Astyanax mexicanus: one gene and its partners. The protein of the gene in region 3 purifies or fractionates together with the protein of the main gene of each other region. This does not show direct contact. Links are inferred from orthologs where the notes say so. Each region holds a gene or a part of one and is shown on either strand. Other genes may lie near its edges. The genes, in order: cdc37, hsp90ab1, lrrk2 and ywhae1.

Region 1 (7,527 bases), on a different chromosome or scaffold from region 3:
TCTATAATACGCTATAATGTTCATATGATCCACACACTCATTCTGAGAGACTGTAATACACTACAGGAAGTGTAGGGGGTGCTCTATAATGTTCATATGATCCACACACTCATTCAGAGAGACTGTAACACACTACAGGAAGCGTAATGAGCACTCTATAATGCTCTATAATGTTCATATGTTCCACACGCTCATTCTGACAGACTGTAATACACTACAGGAAGCGTAGGGGGTGCTCTATAATGCTCTATAATGGTCATATGATCCACACGCTCATTCTGACAGACTGAAATATATTACAGGGAGTGCCGGGGGCGCTCTATAATGGTCATATGATCCACACGCTCATTCTGACAGACTGTAATACACTACAGGAAGTGTAGGGGGTGCTCTATAATGCTCTACAATGTTCATATGATCCACACACTCATTCTGACAGACTGTAATCCACAACAGGATGCATAGGAGGTGCTCTATAATGCTCTATAATGGTCACATGATCCACACGCTCATTCTGACAGACTGTAATACACTACAGGAAGTGTAGGGGGCGCTCTATAATGGTCATATGATCCACACGCTCATTCTGACAGACTGTAATACACTACAGGAAGCGTAGGGAGCACTCTATAATGCTCTATAATGTTTATATGATCCACACACTCATTCTGACAGAGTGTAATACAATACAGGAAGTGCAGGGAGCACTCTATAATGGTATATAATGTTCATATGATCCACACGCTCATTCTGACAGACTGTAATACACTATAGGTAGCGTAGGGGGTGCTCTATAATGCTCTATAAAGTTTGTATGATCCACACACTCAATCTGACAGAGTGTAATACAATACAGGAAGCGCAGGGGGCGCTCTATAATGCTCTATAATGTTTATATGATCCACATGCTCATGCTGACAGACTGTAATACACTACAGGAAGTGTAGGGGGCGCTCTATAATACTCTATAATGGTCATATGATCCACACGCTCATTCTGACAGACTGTAATACACTACAGGAAGTGTAGGGGGCGCTCTATAATGCTCTATAATGGTCATTGTGATGTTTTGGTTGTGGTTTCTCTGCAGAGCGTGCGGACAGTGTGGTGATAGTTCGTGATAATGGTGATTGGTCAGAAGGTGAGCAGAGGAAGCTGAAGTGTGAGATTAAGAATGTGGGTCCAGTCAGTAATCTTACAGTGCAGTGGACCAGACTGGACCAAAACCAAACCAGAACCATCAGGGAGTCCAGGAATTTCACCATTTCTAGTAGAATGGAAGAAAAGGGGGATGTGACGGACACTCTGGAGGTTTGGACCAGTCCAGAAGAAGATGGAGTCCAGTATCAGTGTTCGGCTCTACTGGACCTGATCCAGTTCAAACAACAACAAGTGGACGAATCCCAACCCTTCAACATAACCGTACTCTGTGAGTTCACCTGTAAACCAATCTGAATTTTTACTGTAGTCCAGTCCTGTTCCTTCAACTTACTTCATTCTTTCTCTGCTGGAAACATTTGGGGAATTTAGCGAGTCAGCTAACGTCAACTAGCATGGAATTCTTTAGGGTTTGAGTTATTTGCATACAACATTAAATCAGAACACAGAGTTGTGTTGTCATTGTTGTGCAGTTTAACTCTAATGGTATGTCTCAGAGAAGTAGCAATTGGTTCTTTCTTTATTCTTTTCCCATCAGATAAACCCATCATAACACGGCCGTCTGCTGCCACTGTATCCAAAACTGCGGGCGACGCGCTGACGTTTTACTGTTCGGCACGAGGAAAACCGAAGCCTCAGTTTACCTGGACCACAGGTAACTCAAACATCACGCACTCCCCCCTCCTCAACATCAGCAACGTCCAGTCAGAACATCAGGGAAATTACACCTGTATCGCCTCCAACAGCAAAGGCTCCGCCTCCGTGACGGTGACGGTTACCGTTTCAGGTGAGTGAAATTCAGGGTAAACGTCCATCACATGTACAGGTGTAGTTACTGCAGGGCTGATGCTGCATGTTTCAGATTTTGCTCCCCCAAAATCAAAGTGAATCCTACCATTATCACGTTTTTTCACTCTCCTGAAAACATTAATCCCATTAGCAACTAATAACACTTTGCCCTTATTAACCAATTAACCAATTAACCGCATCCAAGATCCTGCAGGAACCTTCTGAGCTATCAGTCTCAATCCCACTATAGCTTTATTTATTTCAGCCAAATTTCATGTAAATAGAAATTATATTTCTGGAGAAAATGAGCCCTAAACATTGTTTCCCAGCAGTGATCATTTTCTTAATAAACAAAAATATTTTTTCATGACCTTTTTTCATACAGAAAACAAAATGAGAACTAAATAAAAAGTAACAAGTAAAAACTAAGACTATGACATGTATTATGTTTTTATAAAGAAATAAAATTTTATATTTCTCCAGTGATCAGAACATATTACTTAAAGATTAGAACAGCCTAAACATAAATCACACAAATCTGACCTAATCTCCTGATGTTCCTTCATCTAGTGCCCTCATCAGAAGACAACCTGCCAATCATCGCTAGCTGTGTTGCGGTTGCGGTGGCATTGCTGATAGTTGGACTCTTTGTTTGGTACTGCAAGCATTACCGGCACACACACATGGGCCGCTACATCCTGAGGAACCTGGCGTCCCGGCGGCACAACGCCAACGTGGCCCATTGCGACTCTCAGACCCTCCAGTCACACTGATGTTCTGATGTTTTGAAGTTTTCTGAAAAACCCCACGCAGCACAGCGGTCTCAGATATTCTAGCCCGCATACCACTGGTGGTCACAATTATGAACAGTGAATAAATGGTATTTTTATCTTCAGTAAACTGATCTGAGAGAAATAGTTTCCATATATATGTAATGTGTACAGGCTGCAGGTGCTAATCTTAGCTAATACACAATACAGCACAATACACCTTCTCATTGAATGGATTATGTATTTAGAAATAACTGACCTACTACTTTACACATTTTTTTTGCATTAAAAATAATAAATCTAATAATGGTTGATTTTCTTTGCTGTAAATGTGTTTGTTACACTGGAGGGAAAAACCTAACAATGCATAATAGACTTTTTTATTATAGTTATTTACAGGAGCTGTATGTAATATATTTACAATGTACAACTTTATAAAATTATGATGTGTGATCAGATATTAAGAAAATATGATAAGTTTAAGCTTAACATCAGAGCTTCAGTCAGTATATTCTTCTTTAGATTGTTTTTACTGAGCAGAAGTCTGTACAATGTAGCATCAGAGGAGTGGTTATGGGTGTGGAAACACAACACTTTCCACAATGCTCTGGCACTGGAAAACTATTTAACCCAGTGAATGGAGAAGGCTAAATTGTCCAGATCAAAGACTGAGCTGAACAGACACATAGTGTCGGAAAATGTCTTGAAGAATCTTTAAGAAAACTATTAACCTTACAAGTGTTCTACTTTTAGGTTCCTGATAGAGCACTTCATACGAAATTATGTCCAGAGGCATTTGCAAGTGATGAAATTGTATGTAGAACTGCAAATGTATAACAATCATACACATGAGTTCTATTTTTAATTACTGTAATCATATAATAGAGATTTAACAGTATTTTCCCCTGATAAAACAGAACCTAATGAGATGATAATGAACTCAGGAAGAACTCAGGCTTTAAAATACAGCAGAACCTGAGCTGTGGAGGAAACACCTTTAACATTAGTGTTGACACAGAGACCACAGGATATGTTCAGAGGTCCTGTATAGTCCAGGCTTTGCTTGGGCCAGAACTGATCGCTCAATGAACCAAACAATGAACCAAGTCTCAGAACCGCCTGCAGATTCTGCATCTCCGCTCTGTAGTACTGAATCTCCTGAAATTCTGTTCTTTCTTTAGTCTTTAGCCACCCCTAGTGGAGCAACTTAATCATTACAGCCTCTTTCTGGTTTACTATAAATACTACTGGTTTATTATTAATCAGATTATTAAGCTGATCAGTTTAATTATTAAACACTGTACACGTGTGTGTTTGTATTTCAGTAAAATAAGTATTTATGATATATGTAAACCAGAGTGATTTATAATTCAATAAATGTTTGGTTTTTATACCTCAGTACTCCTGCCCCTGCACACACTTTCATTTTATACCTCTGAATTTCTAATTCCTCTTATATGTAAGAATATGTTTTAATCGTATGTATAATTGTATTTTTATGTATACAATATATTGTTTTATATACATGAGTATATATATATATATATATATATATATATATATATATATATATATATATATTATTTATATTAGAATTGTGTGTGTGTATTAGATGTTTAGATAATTGTGTATAGATTATGTGTATTGATTATGTATTGTGATATGCATGCATCGATTACTGCACCGTGCGTTTCTATTGGACTGGTGACACTGTTGCTATGGTAACCGCTGCAGCTCTCTGCGGTAACACAGCCGGAAGGGGCGTGGTGATCCACCTCGTTGCCCCGCCCTCTGGCGCCGGAAGTGTTGGAGAGTTCCAGAAGGCGCGTGGGGTGGAGAGGAGAGCTCTAGAAGAAAGAGGAGAGCGCGATTATTGATTATTATTATACAAAATCAATCTGATTGGGAATTAGAGGAGAATAAACAGAGCCATGACAACTATCGATTACAGCGTGTGGGATCATATCGAGGTGTCTGACGATGAGGATGATACACACCCCAACATCGACACACCGAGCCTGTTCAGGTGGAGACACCAGGTAACAACACACTTGATTCTGTACACAGGTTCCACCTTATACACCTGTTATATAGAGGAGATCTGGCTGCTCTCTGTTTTCTGTTCTACTGTAATACTGGACCTTTCTGTGTTTTACATTACTCACAAGAGAGACCAGTTATTTGCTGCTTCATTCTCTAAATCTTTAAAAATCTACCTCAGTATCTGCTGTGATCATCTATGTTCTATATGTTACATATCTCTGCACCTTATTCTCTCTTAAACACTGCACTGTCCTGCCTGTTAAACTGTGTCGTCTGTTGTATTTATTGTAGTGTTATAGTTTTATGTTGCACTATCATAACACTTTTACAATTTTATGTTGTGCATTGTATTGTTGTTCCATGTTGCACCATGGATCCGAGATCAGTAAGTTTCTTACACTGTGTATCTGTACTCTTTAGTCTTTTGACTTGAGTTTCAGGCTAAAACCCACAAATACATCAAGCCTAAATCCTGCTTAATACAGAAATATATATAATATATAACAGAAATATATAATATATATATAAACCCATCTGAGTCATTTATCATCACATCATGTTTAAACCAGTGTAAATCATTTCCTTTTCGCCGTGGAACAATTGAAGTATTAAACTGTAATAATGGACATTTACCTTACCTGTACAAATCCGTGTACATCCACTGCATGGTCATTGTGCTCAAACAGAACTTACAGTAAATTAAACACATCTACATCGATTATTTAACTAATAAGAATATAAGAGGTAATATAGTAATAGTGAGTTATGTGCTTTCTGGCTGGAAACACCCCGATTAGCTATAAAGCTAAAGCTTAGTCTCAAAGCTTTGAAAGTTAAAAACCGAAAAATAATTGCAATTTTTGCATACGTAAGGCAGTAATACTAATCAAAACCAAACACGGGTAATTTCGTTAAATGGGGTTAGTAGAATATAGCACATTATAAATCAAATAATTAGTAAAATACTGGGAAAAAAATAATGCTGACTGTTAAACTAATGCAATTAAATCACAACCCCGTACTGACCCAGAGCTGTGACATGTCTATAACGCCACACTAGATAAAGCATTAATCACTAATGTAATGAGCTATATCGGGTTACTGCGCCTTAAATTATATAAATTATACAATATTAATAAAATCTACCTTAACAAACGCTAAGCTAAGCTAGCTTTGAGTGAACAGCAGCAGAGGCTAATTTCTTCTCAGAACTCAAACTCCACTATTGCTGAATTATAAATAAGTTAAACTTAATATACAGATTAATACACTAATGTACAGATAATTAACCGTTTATATGGTCAACAGAAAGACTGATATCACAGTAAATCCTCGCTGTTAGCCGCTGATAGCTAACCAGGCTTACAGTGTGACCGGTGGTGGAGCTAGCTTAGCTCATTTCCCCTCAGAACCGGAGCTAAATCTCACTACTGTCGCTTTTAACACACCAATAAAGCATTAAAGCATTTTAAATCATTAACCACGCGCTTTAAATCAGTTCCGCTGATTTCAGAATCTTACATTACATATAATAATAACCGAAAAATAATAAACACGGGACATTAGCTGATGCTAACCGCTAGCCTAGCTGACTCACTGAAAACTCTATACAGGCTAAGCTAAGCTAGGGTAAGCTAACTAATTCCTCAGACTGATTCTGACTACAATTTGTGAAAAACTCGAGTATTTTTCAGATTTTAAAGCAGCAGGTCGCTGATTTAAGAGATTAAATAAACACTGAAACGCAGTCGAAGCTAATTTACCTCAGAACTTTAAACTTAAAAACAGCAGTAAATGATCTGTATCTCCTAACGGGGTTAAACTCGGTTAAACCCGCCGCTTTATCTCAACTATCTCAATTTCTAATAACGGATTTAATTAAATAAAACAAGAAGATACGTGATTTAGATAATTAGCTCTTTAGGTTAGCTGGCTAACCCGTTAGCGGTGCTGCTGGATAAATTCTGCGTTTATATTACATTATATTATATAATGTTGTATTATTATATTCAATAATATTGTATTGTTTATATTATATTTTAATATATTGTATTGTTTGTTGTGGTTTAATGAAATCTGTTCACTGTTTCGAGCTGGACATTCTGTGTTTCAGCACAGCCAAATCAAATTAAATCAGAATTAACAGTGTTAATTAACAGGGTTAATTGTGATTCAAACACTTGTATTTTAGATTAACTGACACTACAGTGTTGTAAAGATGGTAGTATGTCATCTGTTACTATTGTGCCTGTGTTTAAATTTATCTAAATTATCAATAAAATGATTTAATATAAAAGTTATATTTTCTGTTAACAGGCGTGGGTGTGTGAGGAGAAGGTCTATATACATTTTCCTCTTTTAATGTATCCTCTTTTTAATCAGTTGATTAATCTTTAGGATTAGGGAGTGGGGTTCTTTGCTGGTGTTGGTAAAAGTATAGACTGGCTAAGCTGGTTAAGCTTCAGTAAGCTAGTGCTGATCAACTTATTATTTTAGAACAGGGTCCTGTTATTTTTTGTGTAGGAAATGCATAGATTTCGTTCATTGCTTCAGGTATAAATTCTAAATCCTTTATTAAATCTGCATTATCATGATGAGTCTAATAGGAGTTCTTGTTCTTAAAGTTAATGTAAATTGACTCTGGGTATAAAAAAATTCAGCTTTAGCTTATTGTTAGTTTTATTGTTGTAAATATTTTGATTATTCAGAATTACTCTGTAATGTCTGTATCATTGACAGTATTGTATAATATTTTTGTTAGTCTGCT
Region 2 (7,037 bases), on a different chromosome or scaffold from region 3:
AGGATGACCTTAGTTCCACGACCAATGGGCTCACCTGTAAACAAAACACGGGGGTAAGATACACATGCACATACTAAGGTTAAGCAAAATACAGTTATTTTTAAAGTCTCAATGTAATTTGCTTGCTGTTCTTTACAGTTTACTGTATTTTGCTTGGATGCCATTAACAAAAATTCACCCCCCCCCCCTTCATCCAAATAATCAAGGAGTAATTTAGGCAAGTTTCCAAAACTTACCATTATCAACTTTGACTGTGAAAGAGCCACCAGCAGAGGACTCCCAGGCATACTGCTCATCATCATTGTGCTTGGTAATCACTACCACCTTCTCAGCAACCAGGTAAGCAGAGTAGAAGCCCACACCAAACTGTCCAATCATGGAGATATCTGCACCAGCCTGAAACAAAGGGGGAAAAAATGAATATATATGCAGTCAAACTAAAGTTTTAATCTAGGTAAATGTGATTTGATTAAACCATTTGTAGGCAACATACTTAATATACAGCAAAAACTAATGGATTTCATTTAGAACACCTCATTTGTTTACCTGAAGAGCTTCCATGAAGGCTTTGGTCCCTGACTTGGCAATGGTACCCAAGTTATTGATGAGATCAGCCTTAGTCATACCAATTCCAGTGTCCACAAGGGTCAGCGTGCGCTCAAGCTTGTTGGGAATGATGTCAATCTTCAGGTCCTTCCCACTGTCTAGTTTAGATGGATCAGTCAGACTTTCATATCGGATTTTGTCAAGGGCCTATAAGGAAGAGGGAGAGGTGATTTTTTTTTTTTTTTTAAATGTAAAAAATCTAAAATGTTTAGCTTCCATCAACAAACACTCAACCTTAGCATTAATATCTGTTAGAAATATTTTCTGCAGCCAAAGTATTACAGTACTCGATGACTAACATTACACTTACTGAATATATTATGGTACAAGCTTATATAGTAAAACATTTTTCTTCGTAATATACACCAACTGATTATGAATAATTCTGTATAAAATTGCAATTCCCTAGCCTTGACAATAATAAAAATCTGGCCACTGGTGTTAACATATAGCATAACTATTTTATAAATATAGCTGCATTATGCATTATTTTTTTGTGCATTTTATAAAGCGCTAAAGTAAATTAAAAATAAATTTTAAATTCTGTATGTACAAACTTCACAGAATCCACCTATTGTTTTCAGTGTTCTATTAAATTCAACTTGCTTTAATAAATAAATCAAATAAATAAAAAATATTAAATCAACACTAGCACTTACATCAGAGGCGTTGGAAATAAGCTCCCTGAGGAAGATCTCTTTGTTGGAATAGAAGGTGTTAATGATGAGGGACATCAGCTGAGCGATCTCTGCCTGGAAGGCAAAGGTCTCAGCCTCCTCCTCTTGGCGCATTTCTTCAGGCATCTGGAGAAGAGAAATAACACTGAGTCACACCACCTTAAAGATATTCCTCACTTTCTGTTTCAGTTCAGTTTCCGCATAGCGAACAGCTCCAAGTGACTCGGGGTATTAACTTGGAAGATCTTTTTTCTAACTGTAGTCTGTGGGGAAAAAACCCTACCGAATTCTTTTAAGATTTAGAGGATTATAACAGTGTAAGTGACAGACTATCACTGAACAGAACTTTTGTTAGAATCATAGACTAATTTTAAAACTTACGTATTTAACGTCATAAATACCGTTATGGAGTATGGATTAGAAAACTATTTACTCCTAAATGGATTTTTTTTGTTTGGAACTGCTTCGATAAAAACTCTGAACTCGTCTAAAGCCTGAACTGAAGTTGCTCTTGACCGCCCCCATTCAATTACCCAACATGGCGTAACCGGACCAGCGTACAATGGAGGAGACACGTGCTTGACGAAGAAAGCCGAGAGCCGGAAAACTCCGAGTTTTATATTTATGTTCTGGCTTTTACTAGGAGAGATCACGTTAATTTAAACTAAAAATACGGCCATTAGACAGTTAACTTAGTGAGTTTACACGATTTAAAGTGTGATTAAAGTGTAAGTTACATTAGACACGAATGGAGAAACCGGTCCTTCAAGCCGGAGCACATGGCTTTTAGCTAACGTTCAGATCTTACACGCGGATTTAAAACAGAATTTATTGGTGTTTTGTGGCTGAAAATTGGCATTTTAGCGTTCCATGTAACTTCATTAGCTTATTGATTAGATTGGCTAAGCTGGGTTAGCTAAATCGTCAGTTAGCTAGTTAGCTAGCGCGTGTTTAGGCTGGTTGGCCTGAAATTAAGTTAACGCTAGTTAGCTTAGCGTTAACTAGCAGATAGAGAAGCTAACGCTGTACGGCTCATATAATTAGAGTTACGGTTAATGTTCAGGGGCCTATTATTTCACCTACATTAGTGAACGCCATTATATAACAGAAGTAATAGTTAACTAGGTTAGCTAGCTAGCTAACCAAGCTGTATTACTGAAGCCTCATCACGACTATAGAAACAGTAACCTTCCACCCGTCAGCTAAATCCACCGTTAACTAGCGCTAGCTTAACTCCCCCGGCCCGAGCGCTGCACCTGCTGAAAGAACGGGTAACCACAGCTCATCACGACGAATCCCAACTCACTAACTAATTTACTAAAATAAACACCCAAATAAACCTGTCAGAGGTCGTGTCTCACCAGAATCACGATAAACTAAGCGAGTTTAAGTGTTTTTGGCCGGTGAGCGGAGCTGAAACGCTGAGCTCCGCCGGTCTGTAGTTTCAGTTAACGCTGCTCCGAGTCTTTGTTAGCGGCTCTCCTCCACAGCCGTTCATCTGTCTAAATAAACACAATGAGGCCGCAACACTGCCGGGTTTATCGTTTTAAAGAAGAGAACACGAGACTCAACCGCGTCGTGTGAACGGGAGAACTCACCTTGATTAGTTTCGGTGATTTCTCTTGAAATAAATGCTGCCAAACCCTTCAGATCTCCTCCAACAGTGATGCTGCGCCGCAGCAGCGTATCTTTATGTAACCGTCGAACATGCGGCGTATCACTCCGCGGGCTGGGCTGGGTCTACGCTGGGTCTACACTGTGTTCTGTTTGCACTGGGCAAAGTTAACCTTTCTAATGATGATGTTAATAGACATTAGAATAGACATGTTTATTGTTATAGTATACATTCTGAATAAATAAACGTTCTGTTGAAAAATAAATGTGCTGTTATAATCGCACACATTAATTTTTTAATTCAGATTATCCACTTGCCTGTTATAGTAATGTAAACAACTGTATATTTGTAGTTTATATATTAATATCTTATTCACATTTAACTGCAAATTTATATGTGTGAAGTGTCAGTCAAATGTTTTGAATTGTTTGACTGTATTTCCTTAATAAAATTGAATGTTTTGGGATATTAGCCTGTGTACTAGCTTTGCATCATTTCAGTTTATTTCCCAATCATAATGACACATTTACAAAAGCTGCGTTTTAGCTGGAAGCTGGTTTCAGTTAGTCAATATGGTTGAATCAGGTAAAATCCTATGCTGGCCGTGCATGTCAACTAGCTTGGCTTTGCTATACAATAAAGTTTCCCAGCCTAGTCTTTGACAATATGTTCCTTTCAGTGTAGAATCTCTATTCAAAATGCTGTGTAGTCCAAGACTAGGTTTAATCCAGGTTCGGAAAACTGCTAAAAAAATGGTAAAAATCTAAATCTAAGCTGTTTTAAAATCGTGCCTTTTTAATGGGTCGGAGGTTATGCCCCTGCCTTGATGTCTTACTGCCTTATGTCAACAGCTAGTTCCTTAAGTTGCAATAGTGTTATTTATTAGCATTTTTCACCCAACAAACTACACCTGAAGATGGTAATGATGCCATACTTAATTTCAGACATTCAGGGTGCCTTCCTGTTTTCTCATTCCCTTGTTTCTGGTCAGGGTCATCTGGACCGCAGGCCAGTACCACACACTTTCGTTCATGATTTGGCATACCCAGTTCACCTATGATGTTTTGGAGGTGAGCAGCAACTCTGTCAGTTTTGCTGTTTACCTTTAAAAGGTTTGAACCCACAACGACAGGGTCCATGATACCCGCCATACAGACACTATGTTCTCAGCCACACTGTGCCACCTGAACACAAGTAAACATTAATACTTTTATACACCCATATAGGCAGTTCTCCAGTATTACAAAATAAAAGTTGTTCAAACATAAAATGTTTGTCATGCTTATGTAATATTAAACAATAATTTCTATAACATTAAAAATACCATATCTCTGTCTTTGAGTTTTGCCTTACACACAGACACATCAGCCTATTTGGTCTTTATATAAGGTTCAAGCTCCCAATTGCAGCCATCTACACATTGGACCTGTCAACAGGAGATTGTTGGTTGATCCCCTGTGATGCTACAGCCAGAGAAACACAATTTTCCAAATTGTGTTAGCCTGTACAGGTTCTTTTAGTTAATATAACATAAATAGTTAGTTAGTGTCCTCTTTCTCAGAAGCAGTTTTTCATGTATTCAATACTAATACAAAAAGTGTAATTTACTGTTGAGAAATTGACATTAAGAGGGCTAATCCTAATAGAGAGCATGCCAGACATTATATGAATAATATTCTATTATTAGCTATATTTTATTGCAGCAGACCAGTGCCACCCAAACATTCTCCACTTGGACTGGACTTAAATATAAATAAATAATAAATAAGCACAATTATATATCATACATAACACACATCTAAACATCTGTCTGATATGGTTCTGAAATCATGGTCAGTCCTTTCCAACCAACCAGGGTTGTTTCTTGCAACGTTCCTAAACAGGCCTGCTGGTTGCTTTCCTTTTAAATTCATATCTATTGTGGATACTGGGACACACAGTTACTATTTTTTTTTTGGCTCTAACAAAAAAAAAATAGATTTCCCCTCCCTTAACCTTCGCCACCCTGGGTATGGTTTGGTCCACTCCCTAAACCATAAGAGGGGATCTTAATGGTATAACAGCTCTCATTGGATGTGCAACATAATTGCCAACTTTTTTAATTTACTTATTTATTCCTGCATCTTTACTTCAGGTCAGAAGTTATCTTATAATGTGTCAGCTACTATTTTAGTACTACTATATTAGTGTCCATACGTAGGACTGTTTAAAAAAAATAATTTTCATATAACATAATAATAATAATAAAGCATTGATAACCCTGTGTTAAGATGCATGGAAATGTCTACTTTAATATTTATAAATAACATATAAAGAGCAGCTATTATCCACACATTATCGATTTATGATTACAATACTATAAATTATATAAGATCTGCAGTAAATTAAATATACCCCACTCTGTACAGCATGAGATTCACCTAGGCTAAATAATATGAGTGGTTAGACTGAACGAATAGTAATAATATATATTTTTGGAAGTAATATTCTTGTATTGTCTTATTTAATACTAAATAACTAAGGGGTGGCACGCAAGAAACGATTAAACGCACAAAAGAAGCGAAGGATCCGCTGCACTCGTTTTTGTCACGGAGGGATATCAGCGCTCCGAGGCGGCGGTGCTTCGGCTCTTTCTAGCACTTTCCATGAAAAACCCGCCTAAAAGTGACGTCACGCAGCCGTCAGGAACACGCGTCTCTCCGGCGCAACTTCCAGATTTACCGACTTAAAAGTTCCTCACCGAGGAGGAAAATAAACTCCTAATAAAATAACGCCTAGTTATAAAAGAGTTCCCTACCTGAACTTGGACCTCATCATCTCATAAATATTCAAGTGACACCAAAAAAACGAATTAATGCTTCAAAATCACACAATATTTTATTTTAATATTTTTATGTGTATTAATATATTGTCTCACAGAGGGGAACAACAATACGCATTTTCCTGTGAGATAATATAAGATGAGGTCAAAATTAAATAAATTATTTATATCTCTAATGCGTTAAAATACACATATCTGTTGTTTATTTATACGTTATTTGATTTAAAAAGGCAACTTTTATTTTGAAGAAAATTATTGCAAATTAAACTCTAGTATAATAGTATAATGTATAGTATAATGATTCTAATAGTCATTATAAAACTGCACCACAGCTGTAAACAATACAATAATACATTGAAAGAGCGGTCCAAATGCCTAGATTTGCATGTTGACTGTTGGTTTCTGTAAACAATGCAAGCTGAGAAATACTTGGTACATAGCAAGGGGTCAGATAAATGCAGTGGTGTGAAAAAAGTGTTTGCTTCCCTCATATTTTTAATTTTGTGCATGTTTGTCACTTTTAAATGTTTCAGATCATAAAACTAATTTAAATATTACCCAACAAAAAACAAGTAAACACAAAATGCAGTTTTTGAAAAACGTTAATGTTTTTAATAATAAGGGAGAAAAACTGAAGGCCAGACATCTCCTTCAGGATTTTTGTTAGATGGCAGAATTCTTGGTTCCATTTATCACAGCAAAACTTCCAGGACCTGAAGCAGCAAAAAAGCCCCAAACTACCACCACCATGTTTCACTGTAGGTATGATTTTTTTCTTATGCTGTGTTACTTTTACGCCAAATTCTCTTGCAAATTTAAGATGAGCATTAATGTTCTTTTTGCTCAGCAGTCATTTTTGTCTTGGCACTTTGCCATGCAGGTCATTTTTTCCTTTTTTATGGTGAAGTTATGAACGCTGACCTTAACTGAGGCAAATGAGGCCAGCAGTTTGAGGTATGAAATCTCTAAACTTTTGAGTATCTATTGGTCTTCTTGGCTTTGTCAGGCAGGTCTTATTTAAGTGATTTCTTGATTGAAAACAGGTGTGACAGTAATTAGACCTGGGTGAAGCTTTAGAAATTGAACACAGATGTAATAAACCACAGTTAAGTTATGTTTTATTGATAAAAACTTTCATTCAAACAACACGTTATGTTTACTTGTTTAATTAATCTTGTTTACCTTATAATTTTACATACATTTTAAACTCTATTTATAAAATACAGTACAGTGGTAAATATAAGGATTATTATTGAAATGTATAACATATTTTTTCTGACTAATTTCAGTGACTGATTTGTTCAGGGTTAAATGCTGT
Region 3 (7,644 bases):
CATTATACTAACACACTGTCTACTATCACACACTCATTTGTTTTGTGTGTGATATTAAGTTAATGCAGTGCATTAAAAGCAGCTTACATAAGGAAGTACCGATTTACAGTAATGTAGCCTGCCTGGGTGTTTGCTGTAGAAGACAAGCAGCTGAACCTGATTAAGTAGGGCAGTGGTACAGCAAACTTGGTGCAGCATGGTGCAGCATGACCCAGACTGAGACTGAATACAGAAGAGGCCGTACAGCTGCGCACTCATGATCAGCAGTAATAACCGCATATCTCTCCTTAGTGCCATAAATCTTCACTATAATATAACACACATCTATAAATAGCATATAGGGAGTCCATACAGTCTAGGAGGAACAGACTCCAGATAAACATCACTTATAATCTGTGATTGGCCCAATTTTCACTGTCCATAACAGTCTTCTCTGGAAATTTAAAAAATGCTGTGTAAAAAAAATAATAAGTGAACAATTAGTAAAACAGACTGATTAGAACAGGCTTACCTGACTTTAACAGCAAGGCTAGAACCCGCAGTCCTATCATTACCACTTTACAGTCTTCATTATGCACGAACAGCACCTTCAGAATTTGCCTGGATTTGCAAATGCGCACACACACACACAAAAGCCAGCATTCAGAAACACACTGGGAGCATATCATAAACACTGTTTTTCAGCTTAACCTGTTTTTCAGACTTTCTTACTGGGGCAATGGACAGGCATTACATACCTGAAGTTAAAATAAGGCTACTTTCACTTTCAGTTATATTATTTTTCTTTCCCAGCTCTTATCAGTCAACTCCCTAAAATGTTTCTGGCTCCGTCATAAATATCTAGGGACAGGTATGTATTGACACTCTACTGTACCTTTGCATAGGGTGGGAGATATGGGAGGATAAGGTTACAACACAATGCAACATCACAAGACGTTTTCACAATACAAAATATTTTTTGCAATAGTCTGACATGTAGACAAAATATACCACTAGCAGCAGATACTTATTTAAAACTGATATCTCAATAATGTCCTGTACTTAACACTGCAATGTCTTAGACTGTACTCCATCCAAACAAGAATTAGAATAATCATACTGTTTGTACACCCTTAAATTAGGATGATTAACTTTGAGCCCATTCTTTCTTTGCTGCTTATATGTTTATTAATATTACAAGCATCACTGCACTGCAAATAAACAGCCAGTTTCATACTTACTGGTGGACACCTAAAACTTCCCAGCTACTCCCAGCTCCCAGCGGCCTGACCAGCTTGTCTAGAGTGGCAGGGCAGATCTCCATCAGACGACACAGTAGAGACCATCCCACCTGCGTTAAAGGAGGCAAGGGTCCATCAATACGTTGCTTTATGTATATGGCTGACATAGTATATATATATATAGTATCAGTCAAACATTTGGGCACACTTTCTCATACAATGTTTTACGTTATTTATTTATTTTCTTTATTTATTTTCTACATTGTAGATTTATATTAAAGACTTTAAAATTAAATGTCTTTGGTCTCCACAATCCTCTGATCTAAACCAAACTGAGATGAGTGATTTGGGATTAAAAGCAGCAACTATTGTTCAGCACCTCCAGGAACTCCTTCAAGTCGCTGAAAAAACTACAGCTCTGAAAAAATAAATAAGAGACCACTTAAAATGATGAGTTTCTTTGATTTTACCAAATTAAAAACCTCTGGAATATAAGCAGGAGGAAGATGGATGATCACAAGCCATCAAACCAAGGTGAACTGCTTGAATTTTTGCATCAGGAGTGGCATAAAGCAGTGTGTAAGACTGGTGGAGTAGAACATGCCAAGATGCATGAAAATTATGATTAAAAACCAGGGTTATTGCACCAAATATTGATTTTTGAACTCTTAAAACGTTATTAATATTAAGACTTTAATATTTTGCATAATTTGAGGTGCATGTTTTTTGTTATTTTGACCATTTCTCATTTTCTGCAAATAAATGCTCTAAATTACAATATGTTTATTTTGAATCTGGGAGAAATGTTTATAGAATGAAACAACAACGTTCGTTTTACTCAAATATATACCTGCAAATAGCAAAATCAGAAAAACTGATTTAGAAACTGAAGTGGTCTCTTAATTTTTGGTCAGAGCTGTATTTCAGGTGACTATCTCTGAGATATAAATACCAGTGTGTGCAAATCGATCCTCAAAGCTAAATGTGGTAGATGTGTGTCAAAATATTTGTTTATTTTATGTAATGCAGTGTAGAAGTGATTCTTACCTGTTGAACTTTGCTGTTGCTGTAGGTTGATAACACCAGCATCAGTGGCTCATGGACATTTTTGTCCTCAAATAGCTCTGCAGCTGAACACCAGAAGGGAGAGAGGGGCTTACATTTCCAAAAATATCCCCCCAAGTGACAGAAGCTCATTCAAATATAGCCCAGCCTGTGTGTGTACTGACTACTGACTACAGCCTGCTGCAACAATAACAACACTCAGAGAGAATTGACCAGTTAATAGACTACACTCCAACACAAATGACCTAGCTAAACTAGCTAAATCCCCAGCATGCATGTTTATTTACACTGGCCATAGCTTGCTAGCTGGCTAATGATCTTACCATATTCCTCTGTGTGAGCGAGGAACAGCAGGTCCTGCATGATCTGGACCATGGTGCCCAGCTGCTTGCCCTCCTCCAGGTTCTTCAGCCTCACTAACAGCTTCTTCACGCTTTCCTCCAGGTCCTGTTTGTTCACCATGGTGCTGGTTACAGTGCTGGCCCTCGGCTGGCACTAAACACATGTGTAAAACCTTTCCACTGGCACATTAAACACAGTGTAAATACAGCGAGCGCCACCACTGCGCAGCACAGCCCGCTTTTCTCCAACACCAGACACGTGAGGAAACTTCACTGAGCGTCTCTACCGCCGCCGCTGGACTCTCTAACTCTGTGAAATAGTGGAAACATGCTTAGTTCCCCTTCTGCTCCACGCCGTGTGAGGAAAGCATGCCCGTCTCTTTAGCGGTCTCTCCTCGGCTGTAGTCCTCAGGCGGGACTGGCCGCAGTAATAAGCGACCTGTGAGTCATATGACTGGAGGAGCAACTTTCAAACAGGAAGAAGCTTCAGCAGCAGGAGCAAGAGGGGGAACTGCACAGACTACTCCTCCAACACCAAGACCTGTAACTAATAGAAGATTTACTGCGAGAGGTGAGTTAATCTAACAGCTAAATATAAATATAGGTGTTTATAGCTAGTCAGCTGTTTAGGTTGTATTTTTTTTATTGAAAAAATTGTGCCGGTGTCCTGACGAGTTGTGCTTACTCCGCAAATCGTGCTACCACAGAGTATATTTGGACGTAAAGCTAGCTTAACTAAACAGGAGATTTGCTATTTCGATAGGCTAAAAGCACCACGTCAGAAATACTGTATAACGCAGCTATAATGCACCCCAGAAAACAGAATTATGATTTTTTTAAAAATCACACGAAACATACTAAACTTGAGTCCGCGCATGCGCAATGCAGCCAAGTAGCACAAACTGATGGGTAGCGTAACTCGGCAGAACACGCTGGTTTCGGGCTTGTGTTTTCTGAACACAGAAACCAAACCTTTGAGATTTATTTGTCCAGAAATGTAATGTGTCTTTCAAAACGACAAAAATAAGTTTATTTTAAGAATGTCACACAGATTAAAATATGTAAAATTGCAGAACGCCCATTAGTTAATGTAAGAAAATATATCTTATAATATTATTTCTATTTGTTTGTATGTTTTCTAAAATAATTTAGCCTATCGCGTATTTCTTAAACTGAGCTATTCCATGTCAGACCACACCCATTGCTCGACGTCATATTTATGGTCTCGTCCCCACGGCGTGGCGCTATTACACTGTATTATGACCGTATATTAAGTAAGGGAAAACCTGAAAAATACTTGATGCAGTATCAAGCAACTGAATTGGACTTATTCAGCTCAAATAGATACTCTGAATTAAATAATGATTAAGACAAATATTTATTTGATTTATTAAATATTTATTCAGTTTATTTAATTGTAACCTTAAAACTACTTTTTGCAGTGTAGTTAACACAAGCCTGTTGGAGCGAGTTGTATATGTGACTCCACAATTTGTTGTTTTAAAATGTAACTAAAGAGAGCATAATTCAATGTTGTCAGTTTGGAAGATCTGTGCTAAATTTTGTCTGCAATCATGTATCGCAATCAATGTAAGGTTTTATAAAAATATATATATTTTTTTACTTTTATCAACCAACCATAGATTTGGTAAATTACATTTAATCTAATTTCCTAAGGCTAGGACTAGATGTGTTTTCACATCAATATATTAAAATTAAGTTACACTATCCTAACAAAGCTGTACAGTAGATCTTCCACACAGATCGCCTGTATTTTAAACCTTTCAGACCTTAATTTCCAGTGATGGAAAACTGAAAGAATACTGTTTTTTTGTCTGTAATGCACAGAAAAGAAGACTCTAATATTCTACTATAAAATCTATAAAGCAAATAAATTAAATTAACTAAAATATTTAATAAATTATAAATTATTATTTTTTATTTACATTTCATTTTCATTGTTTGTAATATTTTTTTATTCTTATTGATCTTTTTATTTCATAAACCATCCCTAAACAGTTTTTTTTTCCAGTGTTTTTGCTGTGGATGGGTCCAAGTTACTGTTTCGTTGCTTTATAAACTTGATCATTGGCTGGTTTCTTGTCTGTTCTGATGAAAAGCATCTCTCAATTAATGTTATGTGCAACAAAACATTTAAAAATGAAAGCAAATATATTATGTCCATTGTAATGGATGCAGTGTCTGAAAGAGTTGAAAAGACTCAGGAAGAAGCTAATTCGAGTGACTATTAGGATTTTTTTTAAAACTGGGGTATGTGTGGGAAAGGGTTTCAGTCATGCTACGTAGATTTTAATTTGAGTGTTTGATTTTTTTTTTAATGTGAAAATCAGCATTCCTGTCTTTACACGCCCATTAATTGGCGTCATACTCGTGACCACGCCCCCACTGCGTGGCGAGAGAGTAGTGCGCATGTTGAGTTGTGCTCCACGTTTCGATGTTTACGTTTTGTATAAGCTGCTGAATTTCAGTCTGTATGTCAGTGTCTCTGGAGTTTAGTGGGGTTTAGAGTTTTAATCTGTGCACACTTCCTCACCTCGCGGTCTCGCGTTGTCGGCTCGCTGGGTGCTTGTTTTAAATGGATGTCTGTGCTTCTCTGTGATTTGGAGGAGGATGGTGGTGTGGAGCTGTGGATCATGGAGGAGGAGGTGATGAGCGCTGGGAGGGGGATGGAGGAAGAGCGCAGTCTGATCACCGCTCCGTCCATCAACACCCGACCCTCTAACTCTGCTGCTGCTGCTGCTGGGGGAGGTTCTGATGGCTCCGCCAGGTTCGTCTACCTCCTGGCCTTCTTCTCGGCGCTGGGAGGATTCCTGTTCGGCTACGACACCGGGGTGGTGTCTGGAGCCATGCTGCTGCTGAAGAAGGAGCTGAAGCTGAGCGCACTGTGGCAGGAGCTGCTGGTCTCCAGCACGGTGGGGGCGGCGGCGGTCGCGGCCCTGGCTGGGGGTTTTCTGAACGGAGCGCTGGGGCGTAGACTGTGCATTCTGCTGGCCAGCTTCATCTTCTCAGTCGGGGGCGTGGTTCTGAGTCTGTCACCCAATAAAGAGGTCCTTCTTGTTGGGCGACTCATCGTTGGGCTTGGCATAGGTAAGTCCCAGATAAATAACACAATATATATATATAGACGTGGTTTATAGAAAGTACTTTCATCCCTACCTTGCTCTGGACTAAAACAGCTGGTCTTAAATGAATAATACGATCCATTTTTTTGCAGTTTGAAAGGACTTTTTAGTTGGTTTGTACTTTCTGACCAGTTACAAGAAGTAAAAAAGTGGTGATGGTGGCAAAAAAAAAATTAACTGAAGGTAGATGGCAGAAGCTGGAGGCTGGATGGTGAGCAGCTGATCTGTGGTGCGTGACAAAAGAGCCTAAAGGACAAATCCCCATCAGTGTTATGCAGCACAGGTTGGACAGGTTTACGTCACATGTTGGGTCTCAACATGTGCAAATTCGATTGCATTCTGCCACAAGAACATAACTGTTATTACTGTTATTGGTATACAATTATTATTTCTGGATTAAAAGTTCCACCTTTATTTTCCTGTTCACTGCAGAGAACACAGCTTCACTGCTCTGTACACCAATTCTGATGGGCATTATGCTCTTTTAGCCCATTCTTGGTATTGGGCATTGTCACAATTTATGTTTCTCTAGAACATCTAAATCTAAAAGCAGTGAATTCCTGTGCAAGTCATTTTTACTATTTAGAAGCCTGGATTCTTTTGGAGATTGATGTAGTAGACATTTAATTTATTTATGTAGACCTACTGTCTTAAAATTCAGTTTAAAAGTATATACTGTTTTATTTCCACAGGTATAGCTTCTATGACAGTGCCTGTGTACATTGCTGAGGTCTCTCCTTCTCACCTCAGAGGTCAACTTGTCACCATAAACACCCTCTTTATCACCGGCGGTCAGTTTATAGCCAGTGTGGTGGATGGGGCTTTCAGTTACTTGAGCCATGGAGGATGGAGGTATGTACATGAGTAGGCTTATATATATTTTTTTCATTTGTTTTGCTGTTTTGATTTATATAAAAAATAGATTAATTACACCCTTGTTAACAATGTAGTAAACATGCTTATATGAGTAGCCAAAGTGGGAACTAGAAAGTTTTTTTCACATACAGCTCTGGAAAAAATAAGAGACCACTTAAAAATTATGAGTTTCTTTGATTTTACCAAACTGAAAACCTTTGGAATGTAATCAAGAGCAAGATGGATGGATCACAAACCAAGCTTAACTGCTTGAATTTTTGCACCAGGAATGGCATAAAGTTATCCAAATCATTGTGTAAGACTGGTGGAGAAGAACATGCCAAGATGCATAAAATTTTGTGATTAAAAACCAGGGTTATTCCACCAAATATTGATTTCTGAACTTCTAAAACTTTATCAATATGAACTTGTTTTCTTTGCATTATTTGAGGTCTGAAAGCTCTGCATCTTTTTAGTTTTTTCAGCCATTTCTCATTTTCTGCAAATAAATGCTCTAAATGACGATATTCTTTTTTTGATATTTGGGAGAAATTTTGTCTGTAGTTTATAGAATAAAACAACAATCTTCATTTTACTAAAAACGTGTACCTATAAATATAAAAATCAGAGAAACTGAAGTGGTCTCTTATTTTTTTTCAAGAGCTGTATGTATGTCAGTAATGGGCTACATCAGAACAAAGATGGAGAAAGAATAAACATGTGCCCCATCTGGGTTGTACACTGCATATGGGGCCTAGATAGGATCCACATGAGACTTAGGCAGACTGTCATTATGGGGCCCATTTAGGAAGCCCAACCCGGTCCCAGTAACAACACATTTACAAACCCACTCAGAGCCACATGGATCTCGCCTAGCCATTGTTCTACACATGTGAACAACATAGCAGCATGTTAGCTGGAACAGTAAGATTACATTGTAAATGTATTACATTTAAAATGTGAGGAAATAACACAACAAAAACAAATAAAAAAGGAAAGATCATGACATTTCTGACCTAT
Region 4 (7,676 bases), on a different chromosome or scaffold from region 3:
ATGACATTCACAAGCCAGGAATTGTGGTCATTCTTTACTTTCATTTTGAGTAGTCAAACATTTCACATCAAATACAACTAAAAACTCTTAAAGATACAATCTGGTGGCACTGAAAAACATTACTCATTAACATTAAAATTAAATGTGCATTTTCATGTATTTTTTTTTGAGACCATAAAATCTAAAGAGTTTTTATTTAATTCAGTAACACCCCCATATGAGAAACAGCAGACTACATACATTTTGTAGTAGAAGACCTTGGACTCTCCTGAATTAGCAGCTGGAATTAGGTGCTTATCCAAAACATCAAGGATGTCATTGCAGATTGATTTCAGCTCAGTCTCAACCTGAACAAGACACATGGGAGACTGAGATGTAGAACCAGTCATACTGTCAATATAAAACTATCAGATATGGGTCAGGCGGAGCATACGCCTTACCGTTTGCCTGTACTCCCGGATCATTTTCAGTTTGTCTTCGCCACCCTTATTTTCTTCTTTCTGCTCAATACTGCTAATTATCCTCCAGGATGCTCTTCGTGCACCAATAACATTCTTGTACGCCACTGATAGCAGATTTCTTTCTTCAACTGTGAGTTCAACGTCCATGCCAGCCACTTTCTTCATGGAGTCAACCATCTCTGCAAAATCCAAAAGCAAATAATTAGCAGTTTCTCACTCAAACACATTTATACACAGAGAGCTTATGCCAAGCACTGAGGTACAGACACGTTTTCTACTTTCTACAATTAGTGAATGCAGATTCTCACCATCATTTAATACATATGATGTAGAAGCTGTTTGGTTTAATATGACTTCAGCAAACAAGTCAAAGTAAAAACTCACTCAAATTACTGATCCATGTACTAGAGCTTTTATTAGTATACACTCTAAATATAATTTCAGGGGTAAGCTTTGAAAGTTGATATCAGAGTTATAGATCTATAAATCCATACTAACTACACATATTGACAAGATTACTTATTCTTAGTATAATTTTGATTAGTCATAGCTATATTGCCACTGATTAGCACTAAATATTTCTCTGTGTAAAAAAAAAAAAATACTAGTGGAAATTGAAGATATCTGAATATCCACAGTGTAATTTTTACTTGTTATAAGTCCTGGGCCACATATCCATAATTAAATTGACAAGGACAAATATTCCTAATATAGTTTTGATTAGTAATAAATCCTAGGCATGTAATACTATACATTTTAACTAGCAAGAATAACAGTGTAGTTACCTACAGGTAAAGGAGTATACAGCAACAAAATTAAGAGACCACTTAAAAATGAGTTTCTTTGATCTTACCAAATTAAAAAATCTCTGGAATATAATCAAGAGGAAGATTAATAACCACAAGTCATCAAACCAATATGACCTTGTTTTCTTCTCCATCTTTTTTGATATTTCAGCCATTTCTCATTTTCTGCAAATAAATGCTCTAAATGACTATTTTTATTTGGAATTTGGGAGAAATGTGATGCGTAGTTTATAGAACAAAACAACAATGTTCATTTTACCCAAACATAGACATATAAATAGCAAAATCAAAGAAACTGATTGAGAACTAAAGTGGCCTCAATCTGTTCCAGAGCTTAAAGTTATAAGATAGTGAATTCCCATATGACTAGTCAAAACACATTAAGGATAGGCTGTCCTTGTAATAATGCCAAGTCATTGTGTCTTTATAAATCTGTAAAGCTTTTAAAACTTAAATTTAAAATATTACTAAGGAAAAAACTGAGTTATGACTTGCTAAAAAACGACTAGCTATACACTCGAGTACATTGTTGACTCTTTATATAGGATGTTAAGTAATCTTTAATGTCTATTTTCATGGCAACAACAACTGTTGTACTGGGGAAGTGAGTATAATCCTAGTTATTTAACTGGTTAGCTAAACTAACCTAGCTTTTGCTGAACACGGCATTCACATGGTTCACAGGAGGAGGGTTTACACAATGACTGCTAGCCTACTACAGCAGGCACATTAGGTTAGCTAGCTACAGACTAAACCTACAGTGTTCAATTCCCATTTTGGGTCAGTTTAGGTCACCCTCTGGTGCTTAACTAGCTAAATTAGCACCATTAATCACTTGTCTTTATAGCCACCCAAGTCAGCAGGCTTTATGAAAGCTATTTAACGCTAGCTAGCCGGTCTGCACCAGCATTGCTGCAGCGTAACTAGCGCTACAAGCTAGCTACGGTAAGCTAGGTTACATAGGCTAGCTTAGCTTAACCTGCGATGTTTTACAGCGGCCAGGCAGTCATTCCATCACACGCACACACCTGCAGGTTCGTGTGGTCAAGCTACCCGTAACCTATAATTAAAGCTATCGGGGTCAACCGGGGTGTAGAGGTCTCCACTGCTCCCTGCCTCGGCTAGCAACAGCCTGCCTCACCCAATAACTGTCCGCCATTTTGTCGGTTCCAGTACCGTCTCCATCTTCACACCGTCCCTCAGCGAATAATAACGGTCGAATTAGCCTCACTGGGTCTATATACAATTAACGCCAAGTTAAAGCACCTCTATCGGAAGGCAGTTCAGTTATCTATCCACCTCTCTCACCCCCAGCTCCCCGTTTTAATCCTAAACCTGGCCCCGAAGAAACACAGACAGACCCGCTAGCCCGCAGTATTAACGGTAAACGTTAGCATTAGCATTAGCCCAGTCAGCTTTCACCACAAAACACCGCTTACCGTCGTATCTCTCCGCCTGCTCGGCGAGCTTGGCTTGGTATACTAAGTCCTCCCGGTTAGCCATGTTGGAAAGTGTGACACGAGCCTATTCAGCGACGGATTCTCGGTAAAGGAGTGTGTGTAAAAGCGGCAGGCCCTCGTAGGAGAAGCAGCTGCAGCCTGAACCGTGTTGAAGCCCCGCTGTCCGCCGGCGCCACTGGGGCAAAAATGGCGAGAGAGGCTCATCCGGGAACTTCAGCCCTGTACAACAGAGGGCTGGAGGGAGCAGCCCTGCTTAGAGCACTTACTCCCTCCCTACCTGTCCTAAAGTTTACAGACACATACTGCAACATGCAGCTCTCTCTTAATGCAATTTAATTTCACATACTATAGAGGTCCTTCTCAAAAAAATTGCATATTGTGATAAAGTTCATTCTTTTCCATAATGAAATGATACAAATTAAACTTTCATATATTTTAGATTTGTTGCACACCAACTGAAATATTTCAGGTCTTTTATTGTTTTAATACTGATGATTTTGGCATACAGCTCATGAAAATCCAAAATTCCTATCTCACAAAATTAGCATATCATGAAAAGCTTCTCTAAATAAGCTATTAACCTAATCATCTGAATCAACGAATTAACTCTAAACACCTGCAAAAGATTCCTGAGGCTTTTAAAAACTCCCAGCCTGGTTCATTACTCAAAACAGCAATCATGGGTAAGACTGACGACCTGACTGCTGTCCAGAAGGCCATCATTGACACCCTCAAGCAAGCAAGGCTGTTCCCAGAGTGCTGTATCAAGGCACCTCAGTGGGAAATCTGTGGGAAGGAAAAAGTGTGGCAGAAAACGCTGCACAACGAGAAGAGGTGACCGGACCCTGAGGAAGATTGTGGAGAAGGGCCGATTCCAGACCTTGGGGGACTTGCGGAAGCGGTGGACTGAGTCTGGAGTAGAAACATCCAGAGCCACCGTGCACAGGCGTGTGCAGGAAATGGGCTACAGGTGCCGCATTCACCAGGTCAAGCCACTTTTGAACCAGAAACTGCGGCAGAAGCTCCTGACCTGGGCTGCAGAGAAGCAGCACTAGGACTGTTGCTCATTTTTTGCATGTCATCCGGAAATCAAGGTGCCAGAGTCTGGAGGAAGACTGGGGAGAAGGAAATGCCAAAATGCCTGAAGTCCAGTGTCAAGTACCCACAGTAAGTGATGGTCTGGGGTGCCATCTCAGCTGCTGGTGTTGGTCCACAGGGTCAATGCAGCTAGCTATCAGGAGATTTTGGAGCACTTCATGCTTCCATCTGCTGAAAAGCTTTATAGAGATGATTTCATTTTTCAGCACGACCTGGCACCTGCTCACAGTGCCAAAACCACTGGTAAATGGTTTACTGACCATGGTATTACTGTGTTCAATTGGCCTGCCAACTCTCCTGACCTGAACCCCATAGAGAATCTGTGGGATATTGTGAAGAGAAAGTTGAGAGACGCAAGACCCAACACTCTGGATGAGCTTAAGGCCGCTATCGAAGCATCCTGGGCCTCCATAACACCTCAGCAGTCCCACAGGCTGATTGCCTCCATGCCACACCGCATTGAAGCAGTAAATTCTGCAAAAGGATTCCCGACCAAGTATTGAGTGCATAACTGAACATAATTATTTGAAGCTTGACTTTTTTGTATTAAGAACACTTTTCTTTTATTGGTTGGATGAAATATGCTAATTTATTTTCTTTACTTTTTTTTGCCAAAATCATCAATATTAAAACAATAAAAGGCTTGAACTACTTCAGTTGTGTGTAATGAATCTAAAATATATGAAAGTCTAATGTTTATCAGTACATTACAGAAAATAATGAACTTTATCACAATATGCTATTTTTTTGAGAAGGACCTGTATATACATATACAGCTCTGAAAAAAATAAGAGACCACTTCAGTTTCTGAATCAGTTTCTCTGATTTCACTATTTAGGTATATGTTTGAGTAAAATTAATGATGTTTTATTCTAAAAGATTCATTTAGAGCATTTATTTGTGGAACAGCTAAACAGTCCTCGTCTTACCTCTCTTTCTTTTAATTGCTGAAAGAGAACACCAGATTTGCATTTAAAACATGCGTCATTACAAAGACAAAGCTTGTCACTACTTTAACCTAAACCAGACAGCTCACAAAATGAACAAAAAGCCCCCTTACAATAGCTCATTCTGTCTAGCATTATCTTTCCACCCAATGTTCATCAGATAACGAGACAGGTTTCTCTGTAGCAAAACTCATTTTCTGTGTTTTGTTTTTAGCCATAGATCCATTAAGCTGTATAATGATTTAGTAGAAAACATTTCAGTAGCTAATGAGTGTTTACATGCACTAAATAATCTGACACCTTAAGAAAATAACTGCTCTTTTAAAGGGTGTATTTGTATTATTATGCTATTAAATTATCACAATTCCTACAGTCTTAAAATTACTAATATAATTTATTGCAATTATGGGTTTTGATATTGGCCAAAAAGCGATCCATTGCATTGTATGAACAGTTCATGACCATACATATATGTTACAGATATTTCTTTATATGAATTCTAATTTTGGAGATGTTACATGGTTCAGATAAAAGTGATTATTCTGGCATGCCTTTAAAAATCACAGACAAACTCAGCATTTAAAGGGGTTAAAGTGGTTTACTATAGGAGTTAACTTCATTTCATGTACAGGAACAGGCTGATCCAAAAGAAAAAAAAAATTGTTGACCCATATTGAAGCTGTTCTGTGAAGGGCATTATGTGAACAAAAATGAACATCACAAAAAATATATAATATTACTCTCACTAATGGACTGTAGGATTAGACAGTAAACATAATACTTTAAGTACAAATAATAAAAATAAAAACATGGGCAAAGTTACATTTCTCAGTCAGTCAATCTAGACACAGCTTAAAGTGGCACTTATGATGTGCATTAGTAAGACTTTATCCTTTTTACCTTGCGATAGAGAACAGAACACTTTGGAATGATGTTGAAGCTGTAGTGTTATATTTAACAATGTTCATATTCATTTTATTTGGCCTTTTAAACGTTTGGAAATTGGAAATACTTATTTTTTTGTTTGTTTCATAGCTCAATGGACAAGTAGCCCGTTAATAACAGGACTTGAGTGACAATCTGGCTGCTTGTCCTGACTAGTTATTATTACTTCATACCCAACCTTCATATTTCCCGCATGATAGAAGCTTAATTCTTTCAGGTGATTGTCCTTGTTCAAGTGACAGAACGTAAAACATAGCCATTCAAAAAACTGCAAACATGATCAGTGTAGTCTTAACTATTTTCTGATGGTAGTTCCATTAGTGTTATGGGTTTGTTCGTCAAAGCAACATTCACATTACATGCCTCAATAATCAGTTCTGATTTTGCTCAAATCGGTTTTGGCCGTCTCGATGCTTCACATTCATAAATGTAAATGATCTGTAGTTATTTGTAATGTGAATGAATTTGTCCCTGAACCAACAAGCATGTGCACAAAGATATATTTACGCACGTTTTCAGATTCCGGTTGGGAGACAGAATTCAACTAACAGCAGTGCTGACTGATGAAGTGTACACACTACAGATATGAATCTGATCTGAATGTTCCATTTTTCACGTTCCAACATACCGGATATATATCCAGTAAGTACCACATATAGAGAAACAATAGGAAGGAAGAAGAGGGGGAAAAAAACAAAAACACTCAAATCTGATCTGGCACATACAGGCAAAAAATCTGATTTTGAGTCACTTCAGCTTTGTAATGTGAACACGACCTAATTCAGATTCATACATTTTCCCATACCCACAACTTAATGTTTAAATATGAACTACAAATGTTTCAAATCACAAATCTTGCTTACAAGTCCTTCTAGTACAGTATTTTTAACTTCCCAATCTGGTTGTCAGACTAGATTAGACATTATCTAATTCAGTTTTTGAACTGCAATAAAGGCAAACTGCTGGTTAATGGAACTGTGTTATATCACCTCCTAGGAGAAAATCCCACTATGAAGCAGTGATGCATGATCACAAACATTATTTAAAAAGAAAAACACTAATTCAGCTGGAGCACAGACACATAAAACAATTGTAGATGAAGGCTACTGTTATGTGCAAGAGTTTTAGATAGGGAGGTGTTTGAGGCATTGAGTTAACACTTTACATGTAGTGATCAAATCTTACAGTGTATATCAAAGTAGTAAAGTGAGTTGTTCTTGAAGCATCTGCACATGATAGCATTTTAGGTGGATGTTGTAGAGAGGTTTGTAAGCACAATGTTTTTATACATTAAACCCAATGAAAGACTTCTTTTTGCAGGCACACAAGTGGAAATATATCATTATGTGTGCTTTTATAAAAACTGATTGGTGTCTTCCAAATTAAAAAAAAAGTCTTCATTGCCCAGAATAGCTTCTCTGTAATGACCAACAGGAAATGAAGGGGACACTTCTTTAACTAACAAAAGTCAATTGAAGCATTACTGTGTGCACAAAAACAAACGGTTAAAGGAATACAAATTAAGCATGTAATAGTAAACATTAATATGAGCATGATCAGTATTTCTTCAGACACCTTTTATGGAATCACATGGCAGATGATTTGTAGTGTGATAAAGGGCTCAAACTAATCCCCTTTGTAGCAGTCATCTTTTAGCAAATCAGTATGAGTAGTGTATGCTACTCAAATGCAGAGGAACAGTCCCTTACAGCAACACCCCACTGCTTACATTTAGAGTCCAAGCAGATATCTCTTCTCTCTCAAACTCACAATATTTAGGCCACACTCCAAAGTTCCGCTTAGGATAACCTATAGAGATGTCCGTAGTGTTTAGTGTCTACTTAAGTAACTTCAAATGGTTGCATAAGGTCTAATAAGGAAATTACTGCAGATAGTGTATATATTGGCATGAACGACATGATGGCACGAAAACAATGAGCGGATAGACAGGAAAAGGAT

Evidence for each region.
Region 1: the proteins of lrrk2 (region 3) and cdc37 purify together in Homo sapiens (co-immunoprecipitation; 8 studies listed by BioGRID and IntAct, with this or other methods). This does not show direct contact. The link is inferred for Astyanax mexicanus from reciprocal best matches to the Homo sapiens genes LRRK2 and CDC37.
Region 2: the proteins of lrrk2 (region 3) and hsp90ab1 purify together in Homo sapiens (co-immunoprecipitation; 6 studies listed by BioGRID and IntAct, with this or other methods). This does not show direct contact. The link is inferred for Astyanax mexicanus from reciprocal best matches to the Homo sapiens genes LRRK2 and HSP90AB1.
Region 4: the proteins of lrrk2 (region 3) and ywhae1 purify together in Homo sapiens (co-immunoprecipitation; 6 studies listed by BioGRID and IntAct, with this or other methods). This does not show direct contact. The link is inferred for Astyanax mexicanus from reciprocal best matches to the Homo sapiens genes LRRK2 and YWHAE.

Annotation. Positions count from the first base shown.
Region 1 is NC_064428.1:42,797,366-42,804,892, forward strand, and holds the start of cdc37 (hsp90 co-chaperone Cdc37), read left to right. Parts: upstream 1-4,506; 5' UTR 4,507-4,648; coding exon 4,649-4,756; intron 4,757-7,527. Other genes in the region: probable serine/threonine-protein kinase nek3, read left to right, coding at 1,091-1,429, 1,697-1,945, 2,518-2,720. UniProt on the Homo sapiens protein: Co-chaperone that binds to numerous kinases and promotes their interaction with the Hsp90 complex, resulting in stabilization and promotion of their activity. Inhibits HSP90AA1 ATPase activity.
Region 2 is NC_064408.1:85,811,823-85,818,859, reverse strand, and holds the start of hsp90ab1 (heat shock protein HSP 90-beta), read right to left. Parts: upstream 3,015-7,037; 5' UTR 2,882-3,014; intron 1,410-2,881; coding exon 1,266-1,409; intron 754-1,265; coding exon 547-753; intron 397-546; coding exon 237-396; intron 35-236; coding exon 1-34. UniProt on the Homo sapiens protein: Molecular chaperone that promotes the maturation, structural maintenance and proper regulation of specific target proteins involved for instance in cell cycle control and signal transduction. Undergoes a functional cycle linked to its ATPase activity.
Region 3 is NC_064409.1:58,636,951-58,644,594, forward strand, and holds the start of lrrk2 (leucine-rich repeat serine/threonine-protein kinase 2), read right to left. Parts: upstream 3,025-7,644; 5' UTR 2,748-3,024; coding exon 2,609-2,747; intron 2,351-2,608; coding exon 2,268-2,350; intron 1,331-2,267; coding exon 1,221-1,330; intron 601-1,220; coding exon 512-600; intron 1-511. Other genes in the region: slc2a13b (solute carrier family 2 member 13b), read left to right, coding at 5,227-5,734, 6,462-6,621. UniProt on the Homo sapiens protein: Serine/threonine-protein kinase which phosphorylates a broad range of proteins involved in multiple processes such as neuronal plasticity, innate immunity, autophagy, and vesicle trafficking.
Region 4 is NC_064425.1:15,960,775-15,968,450, forward strand, and holds the start of ywhae1 (tyrosine 3-monooxygenase/tryptophan 5-monooxygenase activation protein, epsilon polypeptide 1), read right to left. Parts: upstream 3,022-7,676; 5' UTR 2,771-3,021; coding exon 2,707-2,770; intron 641-2,706; coding exon 441-640; intron 348-440; coding exon 241-347; intron 1-240. UniProt on the Homo sapiens protein: Adapter protein implicated in the regulation of a large spectrum of both general and specialized signaling pathways. Binds to a large number of partners, usually by recognition of a phosphoserine or phosphothreonine motif.